Anolis sagrei: one gene and its partner. The protein of the gene in region 1 interacts with the protein of each later gene in a pairwise test. Links are inferred from orthologs where the notes say so. Each region holds a gene or a part of one and is shown on either strand. Other genes may lie near its edges.

Evidence for each region.
Region 2: the proteins of CD63 (region 1) and metalloproteinase inhibitor 1-like interact in binary tests that used the Homo sapiens proteins (3 or more experiments, as listed by UniProt). The link is inferred for Anolis sagrei from reciprocal best matches to the Homo sapiens genes CD63 and TIMP1.

The regions. Positions count from the first base shown.
Region 1 is NC_090022.1:145,171,359-145,178,574, forward strand, and holds the start of CD63 (CD63 antigen), read left to right. Parts: upstream 1-4,188; 5' UTR 4,189-4,293; intron 4,294-5,836; 5' UTR 5,837-5,852; coding exon 5,853-5,918; intron 5,919-7,216. UniProt on the Homo sapiens protein: Functions as a cell surface receptor for TIMP1 and plays a role in the activation of cellular signaling cascades. Plays a role in the activation of ITGB1 and integrin signaling, leading to the activation of AKT, FAK/PTK2 and MAP kinases.
Region 2 is NC_090022.1:192,811,041-192,818,965, reverse strand, and holds the start of metalloproteinase inhibitor 1-like, read right to left. Parts: upstream 3,073-7,925; 5' UTR 2,867-3,072; intron 2,179-2,866; 5' UTR 2,167-2,178; coding exon 2,037-2,166; intron 1-2,036. UniProt on the Homo sapiens protein: Metalloproteinase inhibitor that functions by forming one to one complexes with target metalloproteinases, such as collagenases, and irreversibly inactivates them by binding to their catalytic zinc cofactor.

The sequences.
Region 1 (7,216 bases):
CATCATAAACCAACTGGTAACCCAAAGGCACATTCACATAACAGCAAGCCCCAGACTCTGGATTTGTATTATGCCTTCCTGGAACAGATGATTACGCCTTCAAAAAGGAGGGATATATCTAGTAATAATGAAAGATTCGAACTATCCTGATATTTTTGGATAACAGCTCCAACTAATCTCTCACCTGCTTTGCTAACAATTATATTATACAGAAGGTGGAAGAGGCAAGAAGGGGATCCTAACTAACAGTGAAGATGAGACTAATGGGATGGAAGTGCTAGGTTGCTTAGGCGGGACTGACCATGATCTCCTGGAGTCTGTTATCCAGTTCAAAGGGGAAATCCAAGCATAGTGAAACATTCATTTTAGACTTTTAAGAAAGCTGATTTCAGTAATCACTGGTAATAATCTTAGAGGATTCTTGGAGAGAAGGGGAAAAAGGAGGGCACAATAAATTACAGTCCAATCAGCCTGACATCAGTTCCAGGGAAGATTTTGGAAAAGAGCAATAGAATCAGGAAAACTAAAGGGAAAGAGATTCTATGTACATATCAGGAGACCACAGTAAGAGCTGTAAAACTTCTCTGGGGGTTTTAAGCATAAGCTAGGTGGCCATCTATCAGGAGTGCTTTGGGTCTATTATTGCATGGCAGAATGGGGTTGGACTAGATGACCTTGGGCTCTCTTCCAACTCTAGGGGCCCTTCCACACAGCCCTATATCCCAGAATATCGACAGAAAATCCCACAATATCTGCTTTGAACTGGGTTATCTGAGTCACACTCAGATAATGTGTGATTTTCTGCCTTGATATTCTGGGATAGAGTGCTGTGTGGCAGGGCCCTGAGTCTACACTGCCATATATCCAAGTTCAAAGCAAATAATGTGGGATTTTCTGCCTTGACATTCTGGATTATATGGCTGTGTGGAAGGGCCCTAGGAGTCTCTGAACATACCAGTGGAGGTTTCCATGTATCTGGTGGAGTTAATTGTAGTCCAAGAAAGCCCTCAGCTTTGTTTAGAGTCTCAGGCTCATCAGTCTGGGGAATAATGGCAGCTGCCTTTCAAACATAACTTCCATTTTTCTAATTGAGACTGCTTTCAGTGCAACAAATGAAAGCGCCTGCAAACTTGGGCTACTTCTGTTTAGTGAAACATTTATTTTGCTTGCAGCCACAAGCCCTCCTTTTTGGCTCAGGATATGGAATTGCCTCTTTGATATATTTTTTCTCACTTGGATCCACTTTTCTAATTCAAATTTAGCTGTTCAAGTGTTCCAAAACTCTGGAAGCATAACACTATATAATAAAATTTGAAACATTTCTGTTCCCGGTTTGAAAGTGTTCCTTCCTGTTTAATTGTATGGTCCTTACTTTGAAAGCAGTTGTCATATTATAGAAACTGTTTATGTGGCGGCGACAAACTATGTTGAATTGTTTGAGACTCTAGGACAGTGGTTCCCAATTTGTGGTCCGTGGACCACCAGTGGTCCACAATAATGCAAATATGGTCTGCAGCCTCACCATTACTACACTGTTGCCTCAAAACCACACAGCAACGAGAGCAACTGGTTTTGCGAAACCCTCTTATAGTGACGAGGCAACAATGATGTCGGGAGGGGAGAGACTGATTACCTACAAAAGATTACTACTACTACCACATCAGCACTACATTATTAAATATGGTTTTGTATAGGCAAGCAGATGGTGACTACTGGATAGCATATGTCCTGTAGCAGAAACTAGAGCTGATGTGGTCTATTCAATGCAATTTTCTGAAGCAGCACCTCAAATAACCAAACCAAATCTTTGTTGTTTATTTGTTCAGTTGCTTCCAACTCTTCGTGACCTCATGGACAAGCCCACGCCAGAGCTCCCTGTTGGACGTGGCCACCCCCCAGCTCCTTCAAGGTCAAGCCAATCCCTTCAAGGCCTATAGTGTGTTGATCTTAAGAACATTGGATTCGTCGTTCACCTCCAGCACCGTTGGCTGCTAGCCTTCCTTTTGGCTTTGAGTTAGCTGCGTCATCACATCTGGGGCTAGTTGAACTTAATCCTCTGCTCCTCCCCATCTTCCAACCTGGGAGTCCCATCTTTTGATGGCATACCGACATATCTCTAGTTGTACTGATCCATTTAGTTTTCATGGCAACAGTACTGGGGTGGGTTGCCATTACCTTCCCCAGGGATCGCATTTAGTCTGACCTCTCTGCCACGACCTTCCCGTCTTGGGTGTCCCTTTACAGTTTCGCTCGTGGCATCATTGAGGTGCTCAAGCCCCAGCACCACAACAAGACAATGCTTCTCTGCTGGAGCAAATTTAAATCTAAAGTTGACCAAAAACAATGTATTGTTGAAGACCAAAAACTAATTTGTAACCCTTTTGGTATTAATGTTGGGGAGTGGTCCTCTAAATGCACTTTACTATGGATCTAGGAGTGTCTGCACGCCCCATCCCTCTCTAAAAACTCTATCTAGCTCCTATTTCATCTTTTCATGCTCAGCATTATTTTTAAATTTTAATTATTACATTTGGCCCAGCCATAGGTTTTTAAACGTCCCTGTGTGGCTGTTAATGTTTATTGCTTATTTTTAATGAGTTTTTATTTTATTGTTTTGTATTGTTGTTTGTTATTGCTTTTATTATTGATGTATTGTGGGCTTGGCCTTATGTAAGCCGCACCGAGTCCCTTGGGAGATGGTAACGGAGTATAAATAAAGTTTCATATTTATTATTATTATTATTATTATTATTATTATTATTATTATTATTACTGGTCCCTGTTCAAGTGGCCCCTGGTCAAAAAATGATTGGGAACCAGTGCTGTAGGAGATGTTTTGCCCCCATACTGTACTTCCCCCTGCCTGTTTGAAGGCCTGTCTCCACTACTCCATTTCCAATGAGCTTCTCCCTCGCAAACATTTTTGTTCCATTTCTAACTAATCCTGAGTTATTATCATTTTATCTTGTACATGTGGCCCGCTTATTGTGATTTATCTCTCACTATATTTTTGCACTGTACTATTGTATTCTTATGTTTTATGTATTGCGATGTTTATTCTGTGCTTTTGGTTGTATTCTGTAGTAATGCACTACTGGGTTTGACCTCATGTAAGCTGCCCTGAGTCCCCTTTGGGGAGATGGTAGCGGGGTATAAATAAAATTCATCATCATCATCTTTTTTTTTTTATTAAATTTTCTGGATTTTCTCTTTATACAGTGAAAGAGTGGGAACAATGAAATGGATAGAAAGGGTGGGAAAATCGTCGTATGATGTGAGAGGGAGGTGAGATGGGGAAGGGGAGAGGGAGGAAGGTAATTGGGCGGTGAGGGAGGTGAGATGGGGAAGGGGAGAGGGAGGAAGGTAATTGGGCCCCCATCATCTTGAGCCCCCGGTGTCAGCGCAGTGGGTTAAACCCCTGTGCCGTCAGGACTGAAGACCAACAGGTCGCAGGTTCGAATCCAGGAAGAGGCGGATGAGCTCCCTCTGTCAGCTCCAGCTCCCCATGCGGGGACATGAGAGAAGCCTCCCACAAGGATGATAAAAACATCAAATCACCCAGGCATCCCCTGGGCAATGTCCTTGCAGACAGCCAATTCTCTCACACCAGAAGCGACTTGCAGTTTCTCAAGTCGCTCCTGACATGACCAAAAAAATCATCATCATTATTATTAATTGAAAACTATATCAAAATGTGTTGCAAGATGTCACGGCAAAAATAAAGTTTTGGCAGTTTAATCAACTTTTCCCATGTTTATTATAGCATTGAACCCATTAGGAAATGACATTTAAAATCGTGCCTCATTGTGTAATACACTGCAGAATAAAGGCTGCCTGAGCCCGCTTCAAGTCACAAAGGCTGAAGGCTGTGGGATCCTGAGATTTGTAGTTTGGGGAGGTCCCAGCGCTCTTTGGAAGAGAAAGGTTAAAGACCTTGTGGAAATGCCACTCCCATTATTCCATAGCATTGAGCCATGACCATTAGACTCTAAGTGTCTGGATGGGGTGCTCTTCTTGCCTTTGACCCCCATGCTCCCCCTCCTTTTCCCTCCTTTTCCTGTTGAGTCAGCCCCCTCCCCTCCTTCCCTCCAGGTCACGTGAGGAGCAGCGGAGGGGGAGCTCCGTCTCGCGGGGAGGGGGCGGTGACTCGGGAGGGGGGCGTGGCTTCAGGGGAGCGCGAGGAGGGGGCCGGCTATAAGAAGGCGAGGCGCTGGGGCTGGGCTCAGTCCTGCCCCTTTGGATCCTGCGGTGCTCTTGTTATTGGGTTGCTTTCCAGGAGCAGGAAGTGGCAAGGTAAAAAATAATAGTAAAAGAGGGAGGGGGTCCTTTTTTAACGCGGGAATCTAGATTTCTACAGAAAGGAGAAAGAAGAAATTGTTATTTAGACTCTTATGTCGCTTCCTTGGATTTGGCGCCTTCCCTGGAAGTTTGTCCAGCTGGACGGCCATCTGTCGGGAGTGTTTGGATGGTGGCAGAATTGGGTCGGGCTGGATGGCCCTTGGGGTTCCCTCCCAACTCCAGAATCCTTGGAGTGAGGCCGGAGTTCTATGTTGGGGCTTTCCCAGCCTTGATAGTGCTGGGGAAAGGGGAGAGAAGAGAGAAACTACAAGAAAGGAGATTACATCTGAACATGAGGAAGAACTTCCTGACTGTGAGAGTTGTTCAGCAGTGGAACTCTCTGCCCCGGAGTGTGGTAGAGGCTCCTCCTTTGGAAGCTTTTAACAGAGGCTGGATGGCCATCTGTCGGGGGTGCTCTGTATGTGATTTTCCTGCTTCTTGGAAAGGAGTTGGACTGGATGGCCCATGAGGTCTCTTCCAATTCTGTGATTCTAAAGTGGGTTCTCTTGTGCCACGTTGTTAAACAGAGGTGGGATGGCCATCTGTCGGGGGTGCTTTGAATGCAATTTTCCTGCTTCTTGGCAGGGGGTTGGACTGGATGGCCCAGGAGGTCTCTTCCAACTCTTAAGATTCTGTGATTCTAAAGTGGGTTCTCTTGTGCCATGTTGTTAAACAGAGGCAGGACGGCCATCTGCTGGGGATGCTTTGATTGTGCTTTCCCTTCGGAGTTGGACTAGATGGCCCTTATGGTCTCTTCCAACTTTCAAGAACTCTGGCTGCATCTACACCAGACATGGGCCAACTTGGGTCCTCCCTCCAGGTGCTTTGGACTTCAATTCCCACAATCCCTAACAGCCTCAGGCCCTTTCCTTTCCCCCCTCAGCCGCTTAGGACCCAAGTTGGCCCATGTCTGATCTACACTGTAGAATTGATGCACTTTGATAATAATGGTAATAATAATATTTATACCCCCCTTTATTTATATGCCACTTTCATGCTATTTGAACCCTGGGAGTTACACTTTGGTGAGTTATACTTTGGCAGAGAAGACGGAAAAAAACCCTTGTCAAACTCCTGTGATTGCGTAGCAGTGATATCAAAGTGTGTTAATTCTACAGTGTGGCCACCCCTGACTGTTTGCGTGGGAGTAGGGAAACTGGAAAATTCCGCCTTGGTGGAGAGAGTGTGTCCCTTGTATCTGAATCTCCCCCAACTTCCTCCTGGCAATCTCTTTCTGATACATATGTATCCTGAAAGGATTTACATGAAACCCAGCCCTTGAGGAAACCGGGCCCAGGTTTACTGGAATCCCTACTCTTCCTCTCCTCCCGCTTTCTGCCTCAGGCTGTCTCCTCCAAGTTTCCTGTTTTTCCTTTTCCCAGCCTCCATGATAGGCTTCAAAACGCCCATCTTCTTTTCCCAGCTTCCCTTTCCTTCCTCCTTCGGCGAGGCTTGAACTCTTAACGCCACTTCTGTTCTGTTTTTTCCCTCCTCACAGGGACGAATAAGGCAAAATGGGCGTCGAAGGCGGCATGAAGTGTGTGAAGTTCCTGGTCTTCTTCTTCAATTTCATATTCTGGGTAAGTCAGTGGAAGTAGGGGAGGAGGGAGAGGTTATGGGGCTTGTTTTGTCCTCCTTTCCTCCCTCCGCCATCAAAAGCTCTGGGCTGGGTTTGCTTGGCCTCTTCAGCAGCCAAGGCGCTTTGTTCCACTTTGGGCAATTAACCTTTAAAGGCTGAATTAACTCCGAGTTGTTGCTCCGTTTCCTTGATGGCTTTCCTTCTTTTCTCTATAAGTGCTAGTAGTAAGTTCCCATCACAAGAGCTGTGCATCCTTAGCTGTGTTATAATCCTTTGGGACTCCTACATACGTACATAATAAATGTGCTTCTCATCGTACTTTAAATCTCTTAAGTACCATCATTTATCTGCTGGAGAATTCTAGGCATCCAGCTTTGGAGATGCATATGTCTTTGTACTAAAAGTGATGCCAAAATACTTTGCATACTTGATTTTTAAAAAAGGTAATAATTTCCCCCTGTTCTGCTATGATGTGGGATGAGTTTACCTTTGAATCAAAAACAACTCGATGATTATCAAATTTCTCCCTTTAGGGTTCAGCACAAAGACAACAATGAACTTCATTTGCCTTTCGAGGATGTTTTGTATGTGTCTTCAGGTCACTTGTCAACTGGTGACCCCATGAATTTTGTGAGGTTTTTTTTAGGCAGGGAATACTCAATGGCAGTTTGGCCAGTTCCTTCCTCTGAGGGCCCTTCCATACAGACCCTATATCCCAGGATCTGATCCCAGTTTTTCTGTTTATCCCAGATTATCTGGCAGTGTGGACTCATATAATCCAGTTTAAAGCAGAAAACTTGGTATCAGATCCTGGGATATAGGGCCTATCTGGAAGGACCCTGAGGCTGGATCTACACTGTCCTGTATCCCAGGATCTGCTCCCAAATTATCTGGCAGTATAAACTCATATAATCCAGTTTAAAGCAGAAAATCTAGGATCAGATCCTGGGATATAGAACCTGTCTAGAAGGGCCTTTGAGGCTAGATCTACACTGCCCTAAATCCCAGGATCTGATCCCAGATTATCTGTTTTGAACTGGATTATATGAGTCTACACTGCCAGATAATCTGGGATCAGATCCTGGGATATAGGGCCTGTGGAAGGGCCTTGAGGCTGGATCTACACTGCCCTATATCCCAGGAGCCCCCGGTGGCACAGTGGGTTAAACCCCTGTGCTGGCAGGACTGAAGGCTGACCGGTCACAGGTTCGAATCTGGGGAGAGCGCGGATGAGCTCCCTCTATCAGCTCCAGCTCCTCGTGGGGACATGAAAGAAGCCTCCCACAAGGATGATAAAAC
Region 2 (7,925 bases), about 48 Mb from region 1:
TAAAGATTGAAGCTATTGTTTATTTTAGTGTGAAGCAAGATCATATTCTCTGAGGCACTCCCTCTCAATGAAAGAAGACTTACATTTTTAAGAATTTGACATTTTTGAACAATTATTTTTATCGTGTCAGGAGTGACTTGAGAAACTGCAAGTCACTTCTGTTGTGAGAGAATTGGCCATCTGCAAGGATGTTGCCGAGACAGATGATTTATGTTTTACCGTCCTGTGAGAGGCTTATCTCATGTCTCTGCATGGGAAGCTAGAGCTCGACAGACAAGAGCTTTCCCTGCCTCCAAGATTCGAACCGCCCAACCTTTCAGTCAACCAGTTCAGCCGGCACGAGGGTTTAACCCATTGTGCCACCAGAGCCTCAAAATAATAAAATAAAAGAGGGCCAAAAAAGTAAATATAAATCTGAAAGCGAACTAGCATTGACAATTTTGGCTAATCAGAATCAAATGTGCGAATCAACAGTATCTGTTTTGCCTAGATTCCATTTAGTTACCTTTTCAACTATTGGACTTTGGAAACTTTCAGAATGCAACGTTTAGCTGTATTTAGGGCTATGACAAAAGGAATATAGCTATATATCATATAGTCTATCAGAGGGCAGTCCTGGAAGTGATTGAGAAAGCTTTTTTTCCTGGCGCAAAACTGATTTTAAAGCACTTTTAAGGGAATGTTTCAGGAATTGAAATATTTCCACAAATGACCAGAGTGAATAAAACCTCAGCATACCATAAGACATGAGCAAGTTTCCATTTGTACTGCCAACTGCCTCTTTTTTTGTCTGGATGCCAGACTTGCAGAAATTCAGCAAGAAAACCTTTTTCCAACATGGTGATAAAGTTATAGAGGAAAGAAATCAACTTCCATCTTTCTCTGTACTCAGGCAGATAACAAAGACACAAGTGTCCTGCCATGAAAAGCACTGGAAACTTATATTTCAATTGCAATGGGCACACTGAAATGATAGATATTTCTCTGGCTGTAGGCATTGTTACTTAAGAAGTGATCTGAGTAAAGCTTTTATAATGACCTCACTACCTCTGAGGATGCTTGCCATAGATGCAGGCGAAACATCAGGAGATAATGCCTCTAGAACATGGCCATATAGCCCGAAAAAACCTACAACAACCCAGCTTTTATAATGACTTCAAAAAAACCCAACAAGTTGCAACTCTTGTTTAAGTTTGAATAGTTAATTCACATTTTGCTGATATAAAATGGATGAAGGGACCGCATGCAGCTCATAGACTGTGTGGGCCCCTCCCGACAGGGCCTTTATTGAGGGAACTCCTGCAATAAAGATGGGCTGTCCAGACAATGTTCAGGACATTCCCGCATTAATTCGCTACAAAACAGGAAAACCCTCCACACATTCTCTCGGGCTAATCCCGAGAGAATGTGTCGACAACCCATCCCAGAAAGCATGCGCTTTCTGGGGTGGGTATGGACAGGCCCCCAGAAATATCCATCTTAAAAAAAAAAGTGGATGCTCACCCAGATCCTAGAATTCGTGAGTTGGAAGGTACCTAACTTCCTATTGATGGAGGAAATGTTTCAGTAAAGCAACCTGAGATGTGGCCTCTGTTTGAAAACCTGGGAAGTCTGCCACCTTACTGGGAAAGCTCTTTTACTTTGCTACAGTTGTACCTCCAATAAATTATTCCAAATGTTTTGCCAAAATCTCCTTTCTTGTAAACAGTCCCTCTTGGTTTTAATTTCTCCTGCCTTTCATTTGCCCCATAGTCATAAAACACCTAGTTCTTTCCCCTCTTCATACCACAGATGCACATCTATACAGCCCTTCTGTATCTGGCTTGCAAACTATGTACCACAAGGTAACCAAGCAAGTGGCTGTTTACAGATTGAGCATGGAGCATAAGAGCATGCACTGTATTTGAGGATACAGAAAAAGAATCCAGAGAACGGGGAGCATCAGGTTTCATAGCAGAAGGCAAGTTTCCATGGAGGGAGAGGTGAGAGACTGCAGAGAGAAAGCTCTTTGATGCTACTGGGTTCCGGAGACTCACCAATATCAGCGGAGCAGAATGCCGACTGGGGGTGCCGGGGAGCGCAGGAGCAGGCCTCAGTGGTATCTCCTCGCAGAGCGAGGAGGAGGAAGCTGGCAGCCAGGAATCCGTTTACTTTAGCCATGTTCATTTTCCTTTTTTTCTTTTTATTAAGAGAATGAGGAAGAATGTGAGTCAGTAGCTTGACTTGGAGAGTGGAGAAAGTAGAGTTATTTCAGAAAAGGGAGTTGGAAGAAAGGGATGTGGAAACATCCCACACAGGGCTGCCCACATAGGTACAGGATGAGGAGATCAATTGATGGCTATATTTTGAGTAACAGGGAGCAAAGGAGATCTGCACTCCCAGAGGAACAAAGCTCCTCTGTGTCCTGGTTCTGTGATAGGCAATGGAGGGCTGGACTGAGTTTGAAAAAAAAGAAACAGGATGAAGAGAGGAGTAGATTGCAATATGAGCGGGTGTCCCTTCTGGAGTCTGAACTTCATAGCGACTTTCTGTTTCTTTAGGATGCCCTCAATCCCACTAGGATAGTGGGTTGGATATGAGAAGCTTTAGCAGGAGGCAAGGGAGCCAAGGGAAGCAAAATGACAAAACTAAACCAGAATTTCCAATGTGAGGTGCGTCTGTGGCAATGCAAAAGAGAGGAGGAATAAAAAGAGCAAGGTCAGGGAGGCACAACAAGGAGACAAGAGATTCGTAGAGATCCTTGGGATATTTCCTGGTAAAAAGAGTTGCAATCTAAAGGGAGGGGACCAGTTTAGGGGTTATAGTGGGTTCCCTATAAAGTAGGAGGGGAAGGCTCGGAGTGCTGCAAAAGAAGAGTTCATCTTACCTTGATCTCTGTCAGTCTCTTTCAGCGTCTTCTGCCACTTCAGACTGCGTCTCCCAGCCCTTCTGGCTCATACTTAAATATCACCCTGCTTCCCCCTTGTCTCCCCCTGCTTTTCCTGTCCAGACTGCCAAAGGGGCGGGACAGCCCCAGCCTGTGGTTTCAAGTCCAGAGTCAACTCATGCCAGGATGGGGTGTGTGCTGACTGATTAATACGACTTAAGTGATAGAGATGGTGTCAGGATGCTGGAGAGGAGGCAAAGGACAGTTGTGGGGTGGGACCAGCAGCAGTAGGTTTCACCATTCGCTAAAGGATTTAGAGGAAATTACAAATTCCTCAGTGGAAGAAAAGTAATACTTGTGCTTGTTGAGGAGATGGACTTTGAAGAAGGCTCCATCTAGATTTAACAGGGCATGCCACAAGGTGGCATCATAGAGCTAGCCACATCTGGAGAACACTTCCATTCATGTTTCTGCTTAACCCCTTCCCAGAAATAGATTATGGTTGGTTTGTTTTACAAGATCTCCATGATGTTAATTTTATCCTTTATCCCTGTTTTTTGGTGCTCAGATTCACCTTAAAGTCTTCTCTGTTCTACCAGTGTTTTTAATAAAATGCAAAAATACAGAAATTGACATACTCCCACTCCCCCACATACACTGGATTGAAGATACAAATTTTCTATTCTCACAAAAAATTATCCATCCTGCAGAATGATAGCACTCTGATGCCACTTTAGTTTGTCATTTGTAATTTGTCATGACATCAGAGCTATGTTCAACAAAAGGCAAGAGGGATCCCCTCACCTCTGGAGGAGTCTACTGTATACCATGCAGATGTGGAGAAGTCTACATAGGGACCACAAACACAGCATTGTCCAGACATGAATCAAGAAACATGAAAGGCACTTCAGGCTAACTCAACCAGAGAAGTCAGCCATAGCAGAGCACTTGATGAGCCAACCTGAATACAGCATATTATTTGAGAACATAGAAATCCTGGACCACTCAAACAACCTCATGTCAGACTACACAGAGAAGCCATTGAAATCCACAACCATGTGGACAATTTTAACAGAAAGCGAGAAACTATGAAAATGAACAAAATCTGGCAACCAGTATTTATAAACTCTAAAATCATAACAGTAAAAACAGGGACTCCAGACAAGAGACAGTCAGGGACAGCTAATCACCTCTCAGCAAAGGATTCCCCCAGGCAGTAAGAAGTCACACATTGAAAACTGCTAGGGCATTAAATGCTAATCAAGGTGGCTAATTGAAACATTCACACCTAGCTCCAACAGACAAGAGTTCTTTCTCCCACCCTGGACATTCCACAGATATATAAATCCCATTTTCTTAGTTTCCAACAGATCTTACAAACTCTAAGGATGCCTGCCATAGATGCAGGCAAAACATCAGGAGATAATGTTTCCAGAACATGGCCATACAGCCTGAAAAACATACAGCAACCTGATGAGAATTGATAAGAATTATAATGTGAACTGGCCAAAGTGGTCCGTGCCTTAGTCACCTCTAGACTGGATTACTGCAATGCACTCTATGTGGGGCTGCCCTTGAAAATGGTCCAGAAATTTCAGATGATCCAATGGGCGGCAGCCAGGTTGTTAACTGGGGTGCCTTACAGGGAGCGGTCAACCCTCCTGTTCAAGGAGCTCCACTGGCTGCCATTCATTTACCGGACCCAATTCAAGGTGCAGGTTCTTACCTACAAAGCCCTGAACGGTTTGGGACCCGCCTACCTGCGTGACCGCATCTCTGTATACGAACCCACACGATCCCTTCGATCATCCGGGGAGGCCCTGCTCTCAATCCCACCAGCATCGCAGGCGCGGTTGGTGGGGATGAGAGAGAGGGCCTTTTCAGTGGTGGCCCCTTGACTCTGGAACTCACTCCCTAAAGACATCAGACAGGCCCCAACCTTGGCAGTCTTTAGGAGGAGCTTGAAGATGTGGTTGTTCCAGTGTGCCTTCCCAGAATAATGATCTCATAGCACTTTGTCCTCCAAAGAACTTTACTTTTTTTAGATCTGCTCGTATGCCCTTACAAACGCCACTATCACCTTTTGTCCATGTCCCAGCATTATTTCCATTTTAACTTTACATTTGGCCTTCCCACTGTTTTTAATTGTGTGTTGTCTTATTGATAATGTTGTATATTTTATTGTCTATGTTTTTATTTTAATTGCTTGTACTGTTGTTGTTTTGCTTGTATTGTTGTACTCGGCCTCGGCCTCATGTAAGCCGCACCGAGTCCCTTAGGGAGATGATGGCAGAGTACAAATAAAGTGTTATTATTATTATTATTATTATTATTATTATTATTATTATTATCTAGTTGGGAGAACCAAAGGTTCTGTTTACCTTTTAGAGGTATATTTGTTGTGTTATGTTAAGTCATTTTTTTTACTTTCGGTAACCCTGAGAAGCACATTTGATGGGGATTTCTTTGCAGAATTTGTCTTCTTCAGAAACCGAGAGAGTGTGACTTCCTCAAAGGTCAGGCAGTGACTTTTCATGGCTGATCAGAGATTTAACAGGAGAACTTTGATAACAGGAGAAAATGCTTACCTTGGTGGTTTTGATCTCATGGTACATTCAACTTCTTTCTAAGAGGGTCCCCTCCATCTTGTTGGCAGTCAAAAATTTGGGAATTCAAAACAAGAAACAATCAGGGCAAGATAACACCATCCCCCCCAACAAAGGCTCCCCTCAGGCAGGAAGTTGAACCTGCAATGCTAATCAAGGTGGCTAATTGCAACATTCACACTTGTCTCCAAAAGACAAGAGTTCTTTCTCCCACCCTGGACATTCCACAGATATATAAACCTCATTTGCCTAGTTTCCAACATACCTCACAACCTCTGAGGATGCCTGCCATAGATGTGGGTGAAACATCAGGAGAGAATGCTTCTGGAACATGGCCATACAGCCTGGAAAACTCACAGAAACCCAGTGATTCTGGCCATGAAAGCCTTTGACAACACAAAATAATTCAGCTGTTTTGGGATCTGCCATCTCCATGGAGGGGGGGGGGGATATCACATTTTGCTTGACTGTAGGGATAGACAGTCATATAAAAATGTGCAGTTTGCAACCAGACCCAGGATAAAAGAGGAGTTCTTTAGCCTGTGTTTTGGCTGCATTGTTCCAATTCAGTGCAGATTTACTGGAAACGTCATCTAGACACTTGCCCTCTTTAACCTGTTCTCTTCTGTTTCTTTTGTGCTGTGTGTAAGGGCCCTAAGACAGTGGATTTAAATTACTAAAAAAGAAATTCCGCATTCCAACAATGGCATATACTCTCCTGGGGTAGGGGGGGGGGGGATTGCCATGTTTGAAATTTCTAACCAGGCATTGGATGGACATCTTTTAGGGATGTTGTAGTTGTGGGTTCCTGTGGGCAGGGGACTGGATTAGATGTCACTTGTGGTCCTATCCAACTCTATGATTCTGCTACTAACTCTTCCCACTAAGTGGAGCAGCCCTCAGGTGCAGAAGATGCCAGTTTCATGGCTTCACATACCTATAGAGTCCTTTTGTATGTGGTCTGCAACCTACTTACCATAAGACAGTCAAAGAAGTGGCTGTTGGCAGACTGAGCATGGAGCGTGAGAGCATTTGAGAATACAGAAAAAAGAATCAAGAGAACGGGGAGCACCAGGTTTCATAGCAGAAGGCAAGTTTCCATGGAAGGAGAAGTAAAAGACTGCAGACAGACTCACCGACATCATAGGAGCAGAATGCTTCCTGGGGGTACTCGGAGGCACATTTGCAGGCCTCAGTGGTATCTTGCAACCAGAGTGAAGAGGAGTAAGCTGGCAACCAGGAATTTACTTGCTTTAGCCAGGTCCATCCTCTTTCTTTCGTCCTGTTTTTTTGCTGAAAAAACGAGGAGGAATGTGACTCAGTGGTGTGACTGGGGGAGTGGAGAAGGTAGTGTTATTTCAGGAGAGGGAAGTTGGAAGGAAGGGGTGGGGAAACACCCTGCACAGAACTGCTGCAGGGGTGCAGGATTAGGGGAGTGATGAATGGCTCTATTTTGAGCAGCCAAGAGCAAGGTAGATCTTGACTCCCAAAGGAACAAATCACTGTATTTTCCTGATTCTGTGGCAGGCAATGGAGGGCAGGACTGAGTTTGAGAAGTAGAGGAGAACAGGATATAGAGATGAGTGGACTGCAATATGAGAGGGTGCACCTTCTGAACTCAGAGCTATACCAGAATTTGCAATGCAAAAGAGAGGAGTGAATAAGAAGACCAAGACAAGGGAAATGCAACAAGGAGGCAAGAGTTTGGTGGAGCTCCTGAGGATATTTCCCTGGATTGGCAATCTAAATAGAGGGGATCAGTTTAGGGGTTACAGTGAGTTCCCTATAGCAGTGATTCCCAGGTTGTTTTGGACTTCAGCTCCCACAGTTCCTAACAGTTGGTAAGCTGGCTGGGATTTCTAGTAGTTGAAGTCCAAAACACCTGGAGGACCAAAGGCTGGGAACCGCTGGCCTACAGGATAGGAGGCAGGATTGGGATAAGGCTCAGAGTGCTGCAAAAAAAGGAGTTAGAGCTCCCATCTCACCTTGATCTCTGCGAGTCTCTTTAGGTGTCCTCTGCCACTTCACACTGCGTTTCCCAGCCCTTTTGTCTTGTACTTAAATATTACCCCACTTCCCCTTTGTCTCCCCGTACTTTTCCTGTCCTGACTGCCAAAGGGGCGGAATAGCCCCAGCCTGTGGTTTCAAGTCCAGAGTCAAGCCATGCCAGGATGGGGTGTGTGCTGACTGATTAATCCAACTCAAGCAATAGAGATGCAGGCAGGATGCTGGAGGAAAGGGAAAGGGCAGCAGCAGGTGTCACAATTTCCAGAAGAATTTAGGGAGAAAATTGGAACCTCAATGGAAGAAAAATGAAACTTGTGCTTGTTGGAAGACTGACTTCGAAGTTGTGTCTAGCTAAATTTAACAGGGCATGCCACAAGGTGGCAGATAGAGCTACCACACCTGGAAAAAGCTCCCATCCAGGTTTCTGCCTCATTCCTTCCCAGAAA